2 linked regions of the Lonchura striata genome follow. The protein of the gene in region 1 purifies or fractionates together with the protein of each later gene. This does not show direct contact. Links are inferred from orthologs where the notes say so. Each region holds a gene or a part of one and is shown in the gene's direction. Other genes may lie near its edges.

Region 1 (7,500 bases):
TCCATGTGTTTCTGATCATCTCAGGGATATGTATAGTTTTTTCAAACTCCAGAGAGGTGAAGCTCTTGGTGAGGTAGAAATCAGCTCGATCCCAAAGGTTTTCATAACACCAAGGGATGCTTGCAGAGGCCAGTGATACTGAAGGGCAGACAGTGCTAATGTGTGAGGCCAGGCACAAACAAGTGGCAGCAATGCCATTCACTGAGAGCAGGACTGAGCTCTAGGCCATACCCAAAGGCAAAACCAAGGCAATGTTTTGCTTTGGGCTTGCCCTCAGCCTGGATCAGCCCCACACGAGGCTTCCTCTCGCCCAAAAACAAGGTGGTTTGAGGCAGGATGGACTCAGCTGGAGCCTAAGGGTTTGCTCAAGGCCTCAGAGCCCTCCCTGCCTGAAAGCACACACCAAGGCACCAGTTCTCCTCCACAGCCCTCCCCTCTGTTAGACAAGAGCTACAAAACTCACGAGGAGAGCATCAGGGGCCAGCTGATCCTGACATGACACAGAAACCTGGGATGGAGGCAGGTTGTGCTGCATCCCTCCTGCTTTTCCACGCTGTCTCAGGCAGCATAAAAGTCCTTCTTCCTTGTGTTCCTTTTAGGGAGCAGAGGGATGGGGGACTTCCACTGTGGCTAATGCCCTCTTTTCCTTCCCACATGATAGTCCTCACTCCCCTGAGGGACCCACCAGCCCTGCACCCTCGGTTTTGGGTGCTGAGCTGCTGGTGCCAAGAACAGAAAAGAGGCATTGAATCACTTGGTGTAGAGAGGCAAAACAAATTTGGACACCCCACTGATATTTTCCAAACATTTCTGGGCCCCACTGGGATGAAACCCATTGACTTCAGTGGGCTTTGGATGATTTCCTACATACACAAAAGTTGAAAAATCATGCTTTAAAAGAAATGCTGAAGTCAAATTGGGAAATTTTAATGATTGTCTTTGTATTTTAATTTGGTGGCTGTATGCTGACAATATAATTAGGGAGATGCTATGTTAATTAATGCCAGATGACATTAGTGGGATGGCAAAAGCATCCAGTTTTGTAAAGAATAGTTCACAGTTGAGTTGTTCCTTTCTCCCCACACCATTTTTAGTAGAGAACTATATTCAAAAAGTCAGAGATGGCTGAATTAAACCAAAAGTCAAACCATTCACAAATACCATGTATCTTAGCATGTTATTTTTAAGCCAAATCTAATGTTATTGCAGAAAAATGCATTAGCCATGTTTTCTTTAGTGCCTACGTGTTTAAAAAAAGAAAGAAGGTTTGCAGGACCTCGTGCTATTCTTGTGTTTGAAGCAGGTAGTGGCCAACCAAGTTGCCACTGAAGCAAATGGAGCAGGACCTAGGCTTGTGCTTTACACAGCTGAGGGTTTGAAATGTGATTTTTGGGTTTGTGTTTGTGGATTTCTTGGGGTCCATCCAATAATTTGAAAAAGAATTGCAATGATGGAGCAATACACATTCACGTTCAGCGTGAGCCCAGACATGCTGTATTCATATTCTGGGTGAGTTCAGCTGCTTTACACTTCAATCTATACATGTAAAATTACTGGAGCCCCCCAGACCACTCCAGGAAATTTGACAGGGCATTAAAGTCACTATCTCATGAGAACTATAGCCTTTATTTTAATATAAGCCCATATATTCCAAATTGCACATATAGATATTTATCTATGGATGCAAATATTTATATGTTTAAGTCGACTGTATAAATGTCTTGTAGATCCTGTCTTGAGTAGAGTTAGCGAGTTAAAAGTCTTGGGGAATATAATTGTATCCTGCTGTGTCAGCAGACAAAAAATTGCAAGCACATTTGTACTGTTCTAAATAGAACTTAAAATGAAAAAATCTTCTGTAGGTGATCTCAACAAGAGAGCAGCAGAAGGAAGTTGGCAGTACTTCCTTAAAAGTCTTAATTTTCCTGGGGGGGAGAAGAGGCAAAGGTAGAACCTCAAGGCTAGCATATCCCAAATGGAGGTATCACTACCACCCTTGGCCTATCTAAAAAAAAAATTCCTTTTACTAATATTCCTAATTCACAGCAGGCAAACCTGAAGCTGCACAAAACCCACTCACCCTTCTGTGCTAACACTACACTAGCTTTGCATCTGCTTTGCATAGAGTTCAATGCCAGGAAAATCCACAGGAAAATTAACTCTTGTCCCAGCTTGTCTGATGCTCTCTGCTAACAAGGAAAGCTTATTATTCATCCCCAGGCTGGAGCTGAATTTTACATGTCCTGCCCCCCCAGCCCGCCACTGCTGACAGGTGAGGAATGCTCCTATAGTCTCAAAGTGAAAATGTCTGAATTTATTGCATCATGTTTAGGAACAGGCAAATCTGTGGGATTGTACTTGGCCTAGTGCTCGATATCATAAGGGAGGCATCTTGTTGGAGAAAGGAGCTGTGACTGGTGCTGTCCTCAACGTTCCATACCTGTAGAGGATCCAGAAGACAGGGACTGGAATATTTTATTGCCATTGTGAAGAAACCTTTGAATTGAAAATATACTTTAACTTAACAGGAGTATGTAGCTGCACACTGAAGTGTTCTGGGATCTGAGGGTGTGCATTGTCTTTGCACGTGTTCAGAATCCTCTGTGCAAATTACCCCAGAGAAACAGTCACTAAAATGAAGATGGAAACTTCCACAGAATCTAAGAGGTTTTCCGTCACTTGTGCTGACTATCACCAGCTTTCATATCAATGCAGTGAATGGGCTGGCACTTAATGTTCTTGATCAGCTCATTTATTTGATCTGTTTTCAAACCACTCTACACATGAGCATGAGAAGATATTTTCAAATTAAATGCAAATACAGCAAAAAGCAGTTTCGTAATAGATATTTATAAACAAAATCTGTGCACAAGAAAAGCAGCTTTGCATTCTGCTTTTTCCAGAATTCTAACAATTCATTTTCCCTCCTCGTGACACGCAAGAGGATTGTTTGCACATTTCACTGAGATCCTATGGAGATAGGACAGCACAAGCTGTCATCAGGACCTGAAGTTTTTACGGAGAAGGTTCTGCCAACAGCAGCTGCTCTCCGGATACTCTTCTGATCCCAGCTGTGGCTGTGTGGGTTCAGGCTTTCCCACATCCCAAGCTTGTGGTTTTACCACCAGGCTACTTGTTCTTTGAAAGCAAGTCTGACTTTCGGGTTTTACATCTGCTCATGTGAGGCAGCCTAATTAATAACCCTGATTTGTGAGATGATCTCATGTTACTCTGTCACATGGATTTTTGTGAGGGTTTGGATTTTTTTTTATTATTGCGGCTATTGGGAAACAACCAAATAACCTTTAACACAAAAACTACTAGGTTACTGACACCTAAATTTGTGGGAGGGGTGAAATGGGGATCATAAAGAGTTTCCTATCCCTGGCAGTGTCCAAGGCAAGGTTGGATGAGACTTGGAGCACCCTGGGATAGTGAAAGGTGTCCCTGCCCATGGCAGGGGGTGGGACTGGATGATCTTTAAGGTCCCTTCCAACTCAGGCCAGTCTATGATTCTCTATTTCAGTTACAGGGAGTTATGATTTTAGCCTTTTAGTACGAAATTATGGTTTTCTGTGCATCTGTTAACTTGTTAAAAAACCCCAAACAGAGCGTTTATTAATTTCATTCAGATCTAAAAATCAAACCTTGCATTTTATTTTGAAAGCTGACCACCTTTATTTGGTTCGATAATGGATAAAACTGCTCCTCACGTGTAACCAGGCGATGCCTGTCCGGGCAGCCCAGACATCCCCTCAGGATGAGCCTGTCCTGGGCTTTATGGTGGCTCTTGTGCCTCTTCCCCTCCAGGTCCCCACGGGCACTGAGGGAAGGGGGAAACAGTGAGGAAATGCTGGAATTGTGCACATTTCCCTTCACCGCCCTCCAGCACGCACTTCCCGGACGGATCCTTCCCAAAGGTCTCCTCCAAGCCTCTCCCCGATGGACGGGCCCTCACTGGGGCGCCTGGTGCCGCCTCCCTGCTCCAGCAGGGCCATCCCGGAGCACAGGACACTGGATCGTGTCTAGACGGCTCGGGAATACCCCCCGAGAAGGAAATTCCCAGCCTCTCAGGGCAACCTGTGGGAGTGGTTTTTCCTCCTGTGCAGATGGAACTTCTGGGATCACTCCCTGTTCCTCTGGTGCCATTGCTGCGCCCTCAGAGCAGAGCCTGGGCCCTGCTCGGAGCCCTCCCTGCAGCCAGCGCTGAGGGCCCCTGTCGAGGCTGACCAGCCCCAGCTCCCTCAGCCTTCCCAGTCCCTATAAGATCTCGGCTCCATGAGCTCGCAGGCTCCCTCCCGCCGAGGATCCCAGCGCTGCGCACGGCAGTGGCCGGACGCCGCCTCGAACCCGCGGCCCGCGCTCGGCAGCGGCAGGGCGGTGCCGGCGCTGCCGCAAGGGGCGCTGGAGCGCCGAGCGCATCGATCGCGACCGTCCATCCGCGCATCGGTGCTCGGCTCCCTGGGCAGCGCCCGCCCAGCCCTGCCCGTCCCCCGCCATTTCGCACCGGGACGGGAAGGGAAGGGACCCGGAGCGGGAAGGGAAAGCTGAGGGGAGGAAGGGACGCGACTCGGGCACGGCGGGTGCCGGGAGCTCCCGCGGCACGGCCAGCCAGGTACCGCCTCTCCCCACCCCGCCGAGCCGGGGCGTCCCTCTTCCTTCCTCGCTTTCCCTTCAAGGTGGGAAGCGCAGTCGGCGCCCCTTTCCTCCGCTGTCGCCGTTCCCCTCCCGTCCCTTTCCCTCTCTTCTCTCCCGCTGCTCCCGCCGGCATCCCCCGGAGCCGCATTCCCGCTCCTTCCCGGCGGGAGGGGACAGGTGGCCAACGCCCTGCGGGACCCGCCGCTCGCCCGAGACATCCCCCAGCCCTCACGGATTTATTTTTTTTCCCCCTCAGCCCTTCTCGCAAATCCTTAAACCCGGAAAGTTGTGGCGGCGCGGGCGCGGCGCTGGCGGGGGCAGAGGGAGCCGGGGCGGGGCGGGCGATGCCCCGGGAGCCGCGGGGGTCCCGCAGGCGCGGCTCGCCCGGCAATTAAAAATTGATGGAACCCACCCTGAACAGCGCAGGGGAAGCCGGCGGGGGAAGCCGTGCTCGCCGTGTCTCCTGTCCGGACGCGGGAGGCGCGTTCCCGGCTGTGAGCTTCATCCCGAGGGCGGCTGGGACGCTCCGGGAAACCCGGGCGGGCTCGGCGAGGCGCCGGGAACTAAATCCCCGCACGGGTTAATTCCCTGCACGAAATACTCTTTGGACTTTTCCTGGAATTCAGTGCCTTTTAAATTTATTTAGTGTGGTGGGTTTTTTTTGTTTTTGGGTTTTTTTTTGTGTTTTTTTTTTGTTTTGTTTTGTTTTTGTGTTTTGTTTTTTTTTTTTTTACTTATTTCGTGTTCTTTTAAATCTCGGTGTGACCGCTGCCTGTCGGCCGAGTGCCCGCTCTACATTCCCTGTGTGTGTAATGTTGGAGGAACAGCATTCCCTCATCCCTTTTTGTCTTGTCTTGCAGGGAGGGAGCTGCTTCCCGGTAATAGTAGAGGATCCTGACGCTGAATGAGAAAGCACCGGCAGCATCCTCGTTGCCCAGCTCTGCTTAATGTTGGTTTCTTTGTCATCAGGTCTGCTAAAAAATGACAGAGTATAAACTTGTGGTGGTTGGAGCTGGTGGTGTAGGCAAGAGCGCCTTGACAATACAGCTAATCCAGAATCACTTTGTGGATGAATATGACCCCACAATAGAGGTAAACACTTCCGTCTCATACTTTTTGTGAGGGGAGATTATCAGTGCATAATGGTGCTTGTATCCTTTTGGGTACTTACCACAAGGACAGGGCTTTATAGTAAAAAGAGCTCAGAGATAATGTTCTGCATTGGAGACAGAATTGCTGTGCTTTTTGATCTGGCTGTGGAACAACAGCTGCAGTAATAAATTGGCAGTTTTGATCAATTAAAGGCATGGTGTTAATTGCTATGTATCCTTGGGCAGTGTGGATGCGTGTGTTTAGGATCTCTATGACGAAGTATTTGCAAACTCACTTGAAAATGCTTGGTGAAACTCTGCATAGCTTTGTGCAACCTCTTTAATGGGACATTTTTTCTTTGATAAGAAGGAAAATTAGTGGTTATGAAATGTGTGTGCCAGTCTTTCTCAGCTCCTATCACTGAGATATGTTTCACACGGGGGGAAATGTGTCCTAGGATGTTGCAGTGAATGAAGCAAAAATTGGAGCCTGTTCTGTTTTGGTTTTTCACTCTTTAAACACACCAGTACGTGTTTTCCTATCTAGAGAAGATGTTATAAGATAGCTTCTGGAATGGGTTCTTTGAAATACATGGCTCAGTACCTCAAAGTTTGAAATTGTATATAATCTTAGAAGTTGTGCTGTTTTGAAGGTTTATAATGAGCAGGCAAGCTTTGCCTTTTAAATACAAGGAAAATACTGGTGTTGTCTGAAATCTCCTGTGGATCATTGCATTTAACAACCTCAGACTCTATAAAAGGAGAAATGACACCATAACTTACCCCAGGTTTTTATGTTCCCAGCACTGAAGCTCTGCATCTCATGACTTCATTTATATGTTTATCCAGCAAGGCACTTCCAGGCTCACTTGAAGGAATCACAAGGGTTTAAATCTGGGCTTAAAATGGAGACTTGGGAAGTGTGTAGGTAGTGATTTTCAGGGAGACATAAGCAGGAGGAGCCAGTGCCCTGAGGTAGCACAAATTTAGTGAGGGCCTGAGCTCAAGCAGAGATGTGTTGACTTGAGGTTCTTTCCATGTGTCTTCTTGTCTGTCTCTTGCATGGCCAAATAACATCTTTCTTGCAGGAGGTTTTGTGACTAGACCTGTGCAGAAAACTCTGTTTGACTTACACCAGCAGAGCAGCTCTTTCTACACTAAGATAGAAAGTCTTAACAACCCCAAACACTCTTTAAAATCACACCAAACTTGCTGAGAAGAACAAGCCAAATGGGTTTTTACTTTTTCCTGCAAAAGGACCTTTGGAGGCTGTTGGTCTTTGATGCTTTTTCATAATTACCTGGGTTTCTCTTAGGTTAGAGGTGTATTTTAAGCACTGCAGAAAGTGCTGTGCCGGTTCCATTTTATAAATTGTCACTGTGTAAACAATTTGGGAACACAGAAGCTTAAATGCCAGTATTCCTGGAGCACTTAAGGGATTTTGCTATTCCACCAACTGAGTGATTTGAAGGGCATTAAATACATTTTTAATGTAAAGTAATAAAATGGAAATACAGTTACTTAGAGAATGAACCTGAAAATCCTAGGACTGTGTCTTTATTAATGGAATTATAGGCTGGTTTGAGTTGGAGGGGACCTTAAAGATCATTTTGTTCCCATGGGCAGGGACACCTTCCACAAGACCAGGGTGCTCCAGGCCCTGTCCAACCTGGCCTTGGCCATTTTCAGGGATGGGGCAGCCACAAATTCAGTGCTGTGGTCCGGAATCCCTGTGTTCTTTAAGAATTACACCAAGTTAACCTAATAGGTT
Region 2 (7,573 bases), on another chromosome or scaffold:
TACCCTTTTCAGAAGTTTTTGCACCTGTAACTAAAGCAAGGTGCCAGGCTGGGAATGCTTGTGGTGCTGCTGTTTTTTTACACAACATGCTCCCTATGAACCACACAATTACACTCTGCCTGAGGTGTTGATTTGGGTAGGACTGAGCCTTCCAAAAGTCTAATAATATCTCATTGAAAGGATGTAAATAAAAATCTTTGCTTCTGTGTGTATCTCAGAGTGATGTGGGAAATTATAGTTGGATCCCTTGTATTCCCAACTGTTCCCATCTATTCACAGTTAGAAAAATCTGGGTGAAATGTGTGTGTAGCTAAGGTGATGTTATTACAATTTTCAATGTGAATGCAGAATTCAGCAGTCCGCATGAAATTTCAAAATGCTTTCTGTCTGCTGAAAGGTCAAACTAAATCTAAGTCTAGAGCATTGTACTATACAAAAAAATACTTAAACTCATTAAAAATTGTGATGTACATAAATTGCTTAAGAAAATAATCGATGCCTGCCAAGAGTGGAAGCCACAGATGTAACTAAAGATGTTGAAACTAGTTAAAAAGATATGACTTTGTGTTTATATGAGGGTTTAGATAAAACATTTATAACTTAATAACTACTTCTGAATTCATGATGTTTTTCCATTGCCCTTCATGCTCTTTTCCAAAACTTAATTATTAATTTTCAGTCTTGGCAGTTTGGACCCATTAAATAGCATGACAAAGTTATGTTTCTTGAATGACAAAATGGATATAAAAAATTCCTTAATAGTTTATTTTGCATCAGCTTTTACTAAGAATATATGGTAACACAGGAAGTCGTGTTGGAAAGGGACTGCTCAGACTTCTGGTTTTCAATCTCTTAAGCAGCAATGCCCTCCTGTGGACTCTGGCTAGAACGATTTCTTCTGAATAACCAGAAAGGTGTATGCATGAACATGATTTGGTTTTCCTTCTTCCTAACGCACTAATTAAAATGTCCCATTAAGATATTTGATTTAATTGGCATTATTTGGCTAATGTGTCTGATTTGAGAAACACATCTTCTTTTGGTAATGATACAGGTGGAGCTGAAAAAGCACCTAACTTTAGAAACTTTGGCTGCTGATTTTTTTTTTATTCTATAGGTTGCTAGTAGAGCTGAAAAAAATGTCATGCTGCAATTGCCTTGTTGGAAAGTGAAAAGTGTGTATTCCTATTGCATTATACTTTCCTAAGAATTTTTATATCCATAGGATGGTATTATGCATTTACTAGTTTACAGGAAGAAGCAGTTTAAAAATTCTGTGGGGAAGCTGCTGTGGCAGCTGGAGTGTTTCTGGTTTACATCTCACACACGGGAGACTCATCTTTGGTTCTGCACTCACACTGTGGCAGCACCTGTGTCTCGTTGGCTCATGTAGCTTGAAGGAAAAGCTCATTTCAGGAGCAGAGAAAGGCACCTTTCCTGGGAATGTGTGTGCCAAGTGATTTGCTGCACAGCTCGGGTGACTGGTGCCTCAGCAGGCGTGAATCCAACAGTGACTGGAGAGGTCCGGTTGGAGCCTCCGAGGATGACCTGGGAGGAAGGAAGGTCTCTGGGGGCTGCAGGAGAAGCTGATGTGCATCCCAGAGCCTGGGGCTGTGTCAGGGCACATGGACGTGTGCAGGAGAAGCTGATGTGCATCCCAGAGCCCGGGGCTGTGTCAGGGCACATGGACGTGTGCAGGAGAAGCTGATGTGCATCCCAGAGCCCGGGGATGTGCCAGGGCACAAGGATGTGTGCAGGAGAAGCTGATGTGCATCCCAGAGCCTGGGGCTGTGTCAGGGCACATGGATGTGTGCAGGAGAAGCTGATGTGCATCCCAGAGCCCGGGGCTGTGTCAGGGCACATGGACGTGTGCAGGCTCTCAGCCCTGCCAGGGCAGGGACTGAACTCAGAGCAGGCTTTGAGCGGAGGTGTGAATGAACAACACGAGCTCACTCCAGCAGCTGGGAAAGGTGGGGACACCGGGCCAAGTGCAGTTTGGCCTTTGTGCATTTTCAGAGGAGACATTTCCACCTGCATGACATGGGTATGTGTGTCTTAAAGGTGTTTTCCTTTCATTAATCAACCAGCTAGAAGTGTAAATGAAGAGGAAGAATTTGGGCTACACCTGAATTGAGTCAGTGGCTGATTTTTCCTACTGATTTATTCACACCTTAAGGACCCTCATCTCCTCGTGATGCAAGCTGCAGCTTTTTTCTTTGATCTGTTCCTTGGCTTACTTGTCTGGCTTTCAGGGAGAGAAAGTGTGGTGTAAACAAACTTTGATTTGTTATCTGTTGAGGTCATAATTAGCTCATCTTAATTTTTCATCCTTTTTGCTCTAAATTACTATAGGTCTACAAAACTCCCATGGATTATTTTCCACATGACACATACTAATTTATCTTGTGAAGGGCCATACAGATCTTACAATAACTAGTAGGCAAAATAGTTTTGTATTTCCTGTAATTTATGTGCAGCTTGCAGACAGCCTCTGGGAAGATTTTTATTTAATACAGTAGGATATGTTTGTTTATTTTAAAACCAGAGATATTTCAGTGGCATTATGGGATATTCTTTTTCTTAAACTATATAAAGTGATGGTGTCAGTTCATGCATTGAGATAAATGGATCTAAAGCCATGACAACTTTCCTTGTGATTGTCAAACATAGTTATTTAATAAGTTACTCTTACTATAGACTTGGCTATAGCATAAAAAAATCCAATCTGAGTAAAATCAGATTACTGTACTGCAAGTATCAATGCTACAGGTTAATGAGGATCATAGCCTGTGAGACAAAAGCATGTTCAGCCTCTCTGGAGTTCCTCTGGGGCTGTGGTTAACCAACCTTCCAGCACGGTCAGTGTTCTTCTTGTGTCTGTGTCTCCAAGGGAGCATTTCCAATTGATCATCATCAGGGGGATGCTGCAGTTCTGCTTCCTCCCTCCTGCCAGCACCAGCAGATCATGCAAAAAATGTTTCAGAAAGCTGAGGCAGCTGAAAACCAGTTCCTTTGTCATGATAAAACCATTTATGACTGTCTCAGTTCTCTTATGTGGATGCTGTGTGTTTGCAGAAGCATCAAGGTTGGCACATGGGAAAAGGCAGGATCAGTTCAGGGAACTGTGGAACTACATCCTGACAGTGCCTAATGCAGAACAACAGTCATTCTTAGCTCCCGCTTAATTTTAACATAAACCCTAGTGACTGTAAGACCAAAAAAAGAATCTTTCTAATGAAAAATTCACTTAAGTTGAAAGTAATGCTGCAGTCTTCATGACAGCAATGTTTAATGCACTATCAAAGTAAGAGGGGAAAAAAAAGGAAAATTGTCTCACTATTTGTCATTCCACAGGGCTTGCACACTCTTGAACAGCTCTAATAATTTCGCTGAGAAAATACCTCATTTTCAGAGCTAAGGAGAGATCTAAGGGTGCGTAGGCTGTGATAGGGTTGGAAAGAGAAAGCAGGGGAGGAAACAGTAGCAGGAATAGTGAGAAGGAATCACAAAAATGTGTAAGTTGGACAAGCCCTTCAAGATGATCGACTCGAACCCTTCCTGCGGCACTGCCAAAGCCACCGCTGAACCGTGACCCCAAGCGCGACATCCGCGCTGTCTTTTAAACCCTCCAGAGATGCGACTCCACCTGGCAGCTTGCTTTCGGTGAAGAATTCTTCCCTGATATCCAACTAAACCTTCTCTGTCACACCCGGAGGCCGCTCCTCGCATCCCGTGCGCTGGGAGCGGTTACCAAGGCGAAGGCGGCACGAAGGAGGGAAGCGCCATCGCTGCGGGGAGCGGAGGGCGGGCGAGGGCCGAGCCCAGGGCCGCAGCCGGGCCGTGCCCGCCGGGTGCCGCCGGCAGCGTCCGTACCCACGGGGCGCGGCCAAGGGGCGGGCCGGGCTCCGCTTCACGGGAGCGCGAGGCAACGGCACAAACAGAAGCACGGCGAGTTCCACGTGAACGCGAGGGAGAACTTTAGAGCGCAGAGTGCTGGCAGGCCGGGATGCGGGGTGTGGCTCGCCGGGGCTCTCCCGTCCCGGGGCCGGGGCCGCGCTCTGAGGGCGGCCCGAGCCCCGCGCGCCCAACGGTCCCCGCCGTTCAAACGCTCCCGCGCGCCCCGCCCCCCGAGGGGCGGGGCCAACGGAGAGGGAGCGCGCGCCGGGACGCGGGCGGCGTCCCATTGGCTGCCGGCCGCGGGCCCGGCGCATTGACGTACTGCCCCGCCCCTCCGCCCGGCGCGCGCCGAACGCGTCCCGCGTTCCTATTGGCTGCCCGCCGCGTCCGTCCCCGGCGAACCTCGGGACTTTTGCGGAGGTCGCGCCCTTTCATTGGTTGCCGCACACGTCCATCGCGGCCTAAGCCACGCCCCTTAGGCGTGAGTGGCGGGCGCCGCCGGCGCGTCGCTCTCATTGGCTGCGGCGGCGGCGGAGGCCGGCCCGGGGGGCGGGGCTCCCGGCGGCCCCTTTGTGTGGGCACCAGTCGCCGGCCGCGCTCCCGAGAAGCCGCTGCCGCCATTTTGTGCGCGCCTGTGTTCGCGCCCACCCCCGCCCGCCTTCCCGGGGCAGCGGCGGCACCGGGGACGCCCCGACTGTGCTGCCGGTCAGGTGAGGCGGAGCGGAGGCGCCGGGCCGCGCCGAGCGAGCTACCGCCGGCGGCCGCCGCAGCCGCGAAGAGGTCGCGTTGCTCGCAGGGGAAAGAAGCGGCAAGACGGAGCAGGGGGGGAAAAAACCTCCGGAGCTGCCCCCGAACAGGAGGAGGAGTTTCGGCGCCAGGCCCAGGCGCGGCACCGGAGGCAGCATGGAGAACTCGCAGCTGTGCAAGCTGTTCATCGGCGGGCTGAACGTGCAGACCACGGAGGCCGGGCTGCGGGAGCACTTCGCGGCCTACGGCACCCTCACCGACTGCGTGGTCGTGCTCAACCCGCAGACCAAGCGCTCCCGGTGCTTCGGCTTCGTCACCTACTCGGCGGTGGAGGAGGCGGACGCCGCCATGGCCGCGTCGCCCCACGCGGTGGACGGGAATGCGGTGGAGCTGAAGCGGGCCGTGTCCCGGGAGGACTCGGCCAAGCCCGGCGCTCACGCCAAGGTGAAGAAGCTCTTCGTGGGCGGCCTCAAAGGGGACGTGGGCGAAGGGGACCTGGTGCAGCACTTCAGCCAGTTCGGCCCCGTGGAGAAGGCCGAGATCATCGCCGACAAACAGAGCGGGAAAAAGCGCGGCTTCGGTTTCGTCTACTTCCAGAACCACGACGCGGCCGATAAGGCGGCCGTGGTCAAGTTCCACCCGATCCAGGGCCACCGAGTGGAGGTCAAGAAGGCCGTGCCCAAGGAGGACATCCAGGCGGGCGGGGGGGGCGGCGGCTCTTCCAGGCCCTCCCGGGGAGGCAGAGGAGGAAGGGGCCGGGGCGGCGGCGGCTCCGGCAACCGGGATCACAACGGGCTTTCCAAAGGAGGCGGCGGCTACAACAGCTACGGCGGCTACGGCGGGGGAGGAGGCGGCGGGTACGGCTCCTATGGCAGCGGTTCCTACGGAGGCGGCGGCGGAGGGGGAGGCGGAGACTACGGCAACGGGTACGGCGGGTTCGGCAGCTACAGCCAGCACCAGTCCTCCTACGGCCCCATGAAGAGCGGCGGAGGAGGTGGAGGAGGGGGCGGCAGCTGGGGGGGCCGCAGTAACAGTGGACCGTACAGAGGAGGCTATGGTGGGGGAGGCTACGGGGGCGGCTCTTTCTGAGCTGGAGCGCTCATACCCATTGATGGGGGGGCGTGGAGAGCCCTCCCTTCGATACGGGGCAGCTTCTAAATGGTTTCTCCCCTCATTCGCCGAAGGGCAGCTCCTTTTAAATGCCTCCCTTCCGTGGGAGCGGCTCCTAAATGCCCCCTGAGGGTCGCCTCTGCTGCCTGTGCCACTTCTTTCTCTCTGAAGATGGACTGGGCCCCACATACACATATTTTGTGTTACAGTCATTGATGGACTCTATTTTTTTATTATTACTTGGACCTTGGTCGTTTTTATACTAGCAACGAAAAATGTCTTGTTTTAATTTGTTTTTTGGGGGGTGCGGGGTGGGAAGTGTCTTGCTGATCTGGAGTAAAAACCGGGGAGGCTGGGGGGAAGTTCCTTTGTTGTAAGGACTCGATGCCTGGATACTACGTTTTTTTCTACAAAAGCTACTCGGATCCCATGACTGACTTTTAACATTTCTGTAAAGGAGGAAAAAATGGTTTTTACGTTTTTTATTTTTTAAATAAATCATTGTGTTCATTGACCTTTATACGTCTAATTCTTTTTCCTAGGATCAATTCCGCACGGTTTTAAGGCTTTTCTAGGTTTGAAGCAAGTGTTCCTCTGCTTTAAAATCTCAGTGTACTTAGAGTAGTAAATATTTTGTTGCCAGTAAAGGTCCTAACTGACTTTTTTGCTAGTGGCTTTCAAACACTCGACAGAGAAATTTTTGAAGTACTAATCCGTGGATGTGTTCTGTTTTTTAAATACTCGTTCTCACTTTGGCAGTTTGTGTGCATCCACCATCTTGTACTAGACAGTTTGACGTGCTGACATGGTTGGTCAGTTTTTTCTGTAGGACTTTTCCATCAACGTATGTATTGTGTAGTTTTGAAGAAATAGTTTGTGTTAAGCATGTGCTTCATTCATATAAAATGTTCAGAATTTCTTATTGCTTAGTTTTCAAGTCCTTGGTTTGTCTCTGTGTGATTCCTTCCAGGAAAGGGTCGACATTTATCCCTTCTATTAAAGGCATACTTGTTTTCCTAGCCCCGGGTTAACAGATTTCACTCGGAACTATTGTTCTTCCTGAAAGTTCCCTGAGAACTCTGGCAGCTCCATCTGCTGTCAGGATGGCAGCCCCGTGCTGTGGGCTTCCTTAAAGCAGGAGTAAAACTGGCTTGCTGACAATTGTACCAACCTTTGGAAAGTTATTTTTATGCCACTAGATGACTGGTGTAGAATACAGTGACATCTGCACGTGAATAAAGATGGGGTCCCTGACTACTGATTGGGTGGGGGTGGAAAAAGGAATGGATTTGCAATACCTGCCTCAGCACGTAATTTAACAAATAATAATTGCAGTTGACCATATTTCAGAAAGTGGTGATCTAAACTGGGCAAAGAGCTCTGAGAAGTGAGCCAGCAAGTGTACAAGTAACATAGGTGCCAGTTGTAAAGCAAAGATATCTGTGTAGTCTGCTTGATTTAAAAAATGTATATTTGTAGCCCTTTCACGCAATAGAATTAAAGTTTGTTGTTTATTAAAAAGCATAATGTTTTAGGGGAAAACTGCCTTCCTGCATAGAAATATAGATTAGCAACGTTTATGGGTTTATGGATATCAAATAAAAGATTTGAATTCCTTATATGCTTGAGTGAGAGTATATATGATGTGGGGCATGCATTTAAAAAGTACAAAGTTATTTTGACTTCAGGTTTCTAAGCTCTTGGAATGCTGATGTTTTGTGGGACTGCATCATAAAAGCTGCTTTTTGCTTTCCTCCAGATATGCAAGATATTAGGCATATAATTCCCACTGATTACACTGAAAAATTAAATGTGTAGG

The links. Proteins that work in one complex are often made in the same cells at the same time.
Region 2: the proteins of KRAS (region 1) and HNRNPA0 purify together in Homo sapiens (affinity purification with mass spectrometry; 3 studies listed by BioGRID and IntAct, with this or other methods). This does not show direct contact. The link is inferred for Lonchura striata from reciprocal best matches to the Homo sapiens genes KRAS and HNRNPA0.

Annotation. Positions count from the first base shown.
Region 1 is NC_134607.1:735,809-743,308, reverse strand, and holds the start of KRAS (GTPase KRas), read left to right. Parts: upstream 1-4,451; 5' UTR 4,452-4,615; intron 4,616-5,498; 5' UTR 5,499-5,516; exon of another isoform or gene 5,517-5,607; 5' UTR 5,608-5,619; coding exon 5,620-5,730; intron 5,731-7,500. UniProt on the Homo sapiens protein: Ras proteins bind GDP/GTP and possess intrinsic GTPase activity. Plays an important role in the regulation of cell proliferation.
Region 2 is NC_134617.1:7,823,765-7,831,337, forward strand, and holds the start of HNRNPA0 (heterogeneous nuclear ribonucleoprotein A0), read left to right. Parts: upstream 1-4,475; 5' UTR 4,476-4,800; coding exon 4,801-5,733; 3' UTR 5,734-7,573. UniProt on the Homo sapiens protein: mRNA-binding component of ribonucleosomes. Specifically binds AU-rich element (ARE)-containing mRNAs. Involved in post-transcriptional regulation of cytokines mRNAs.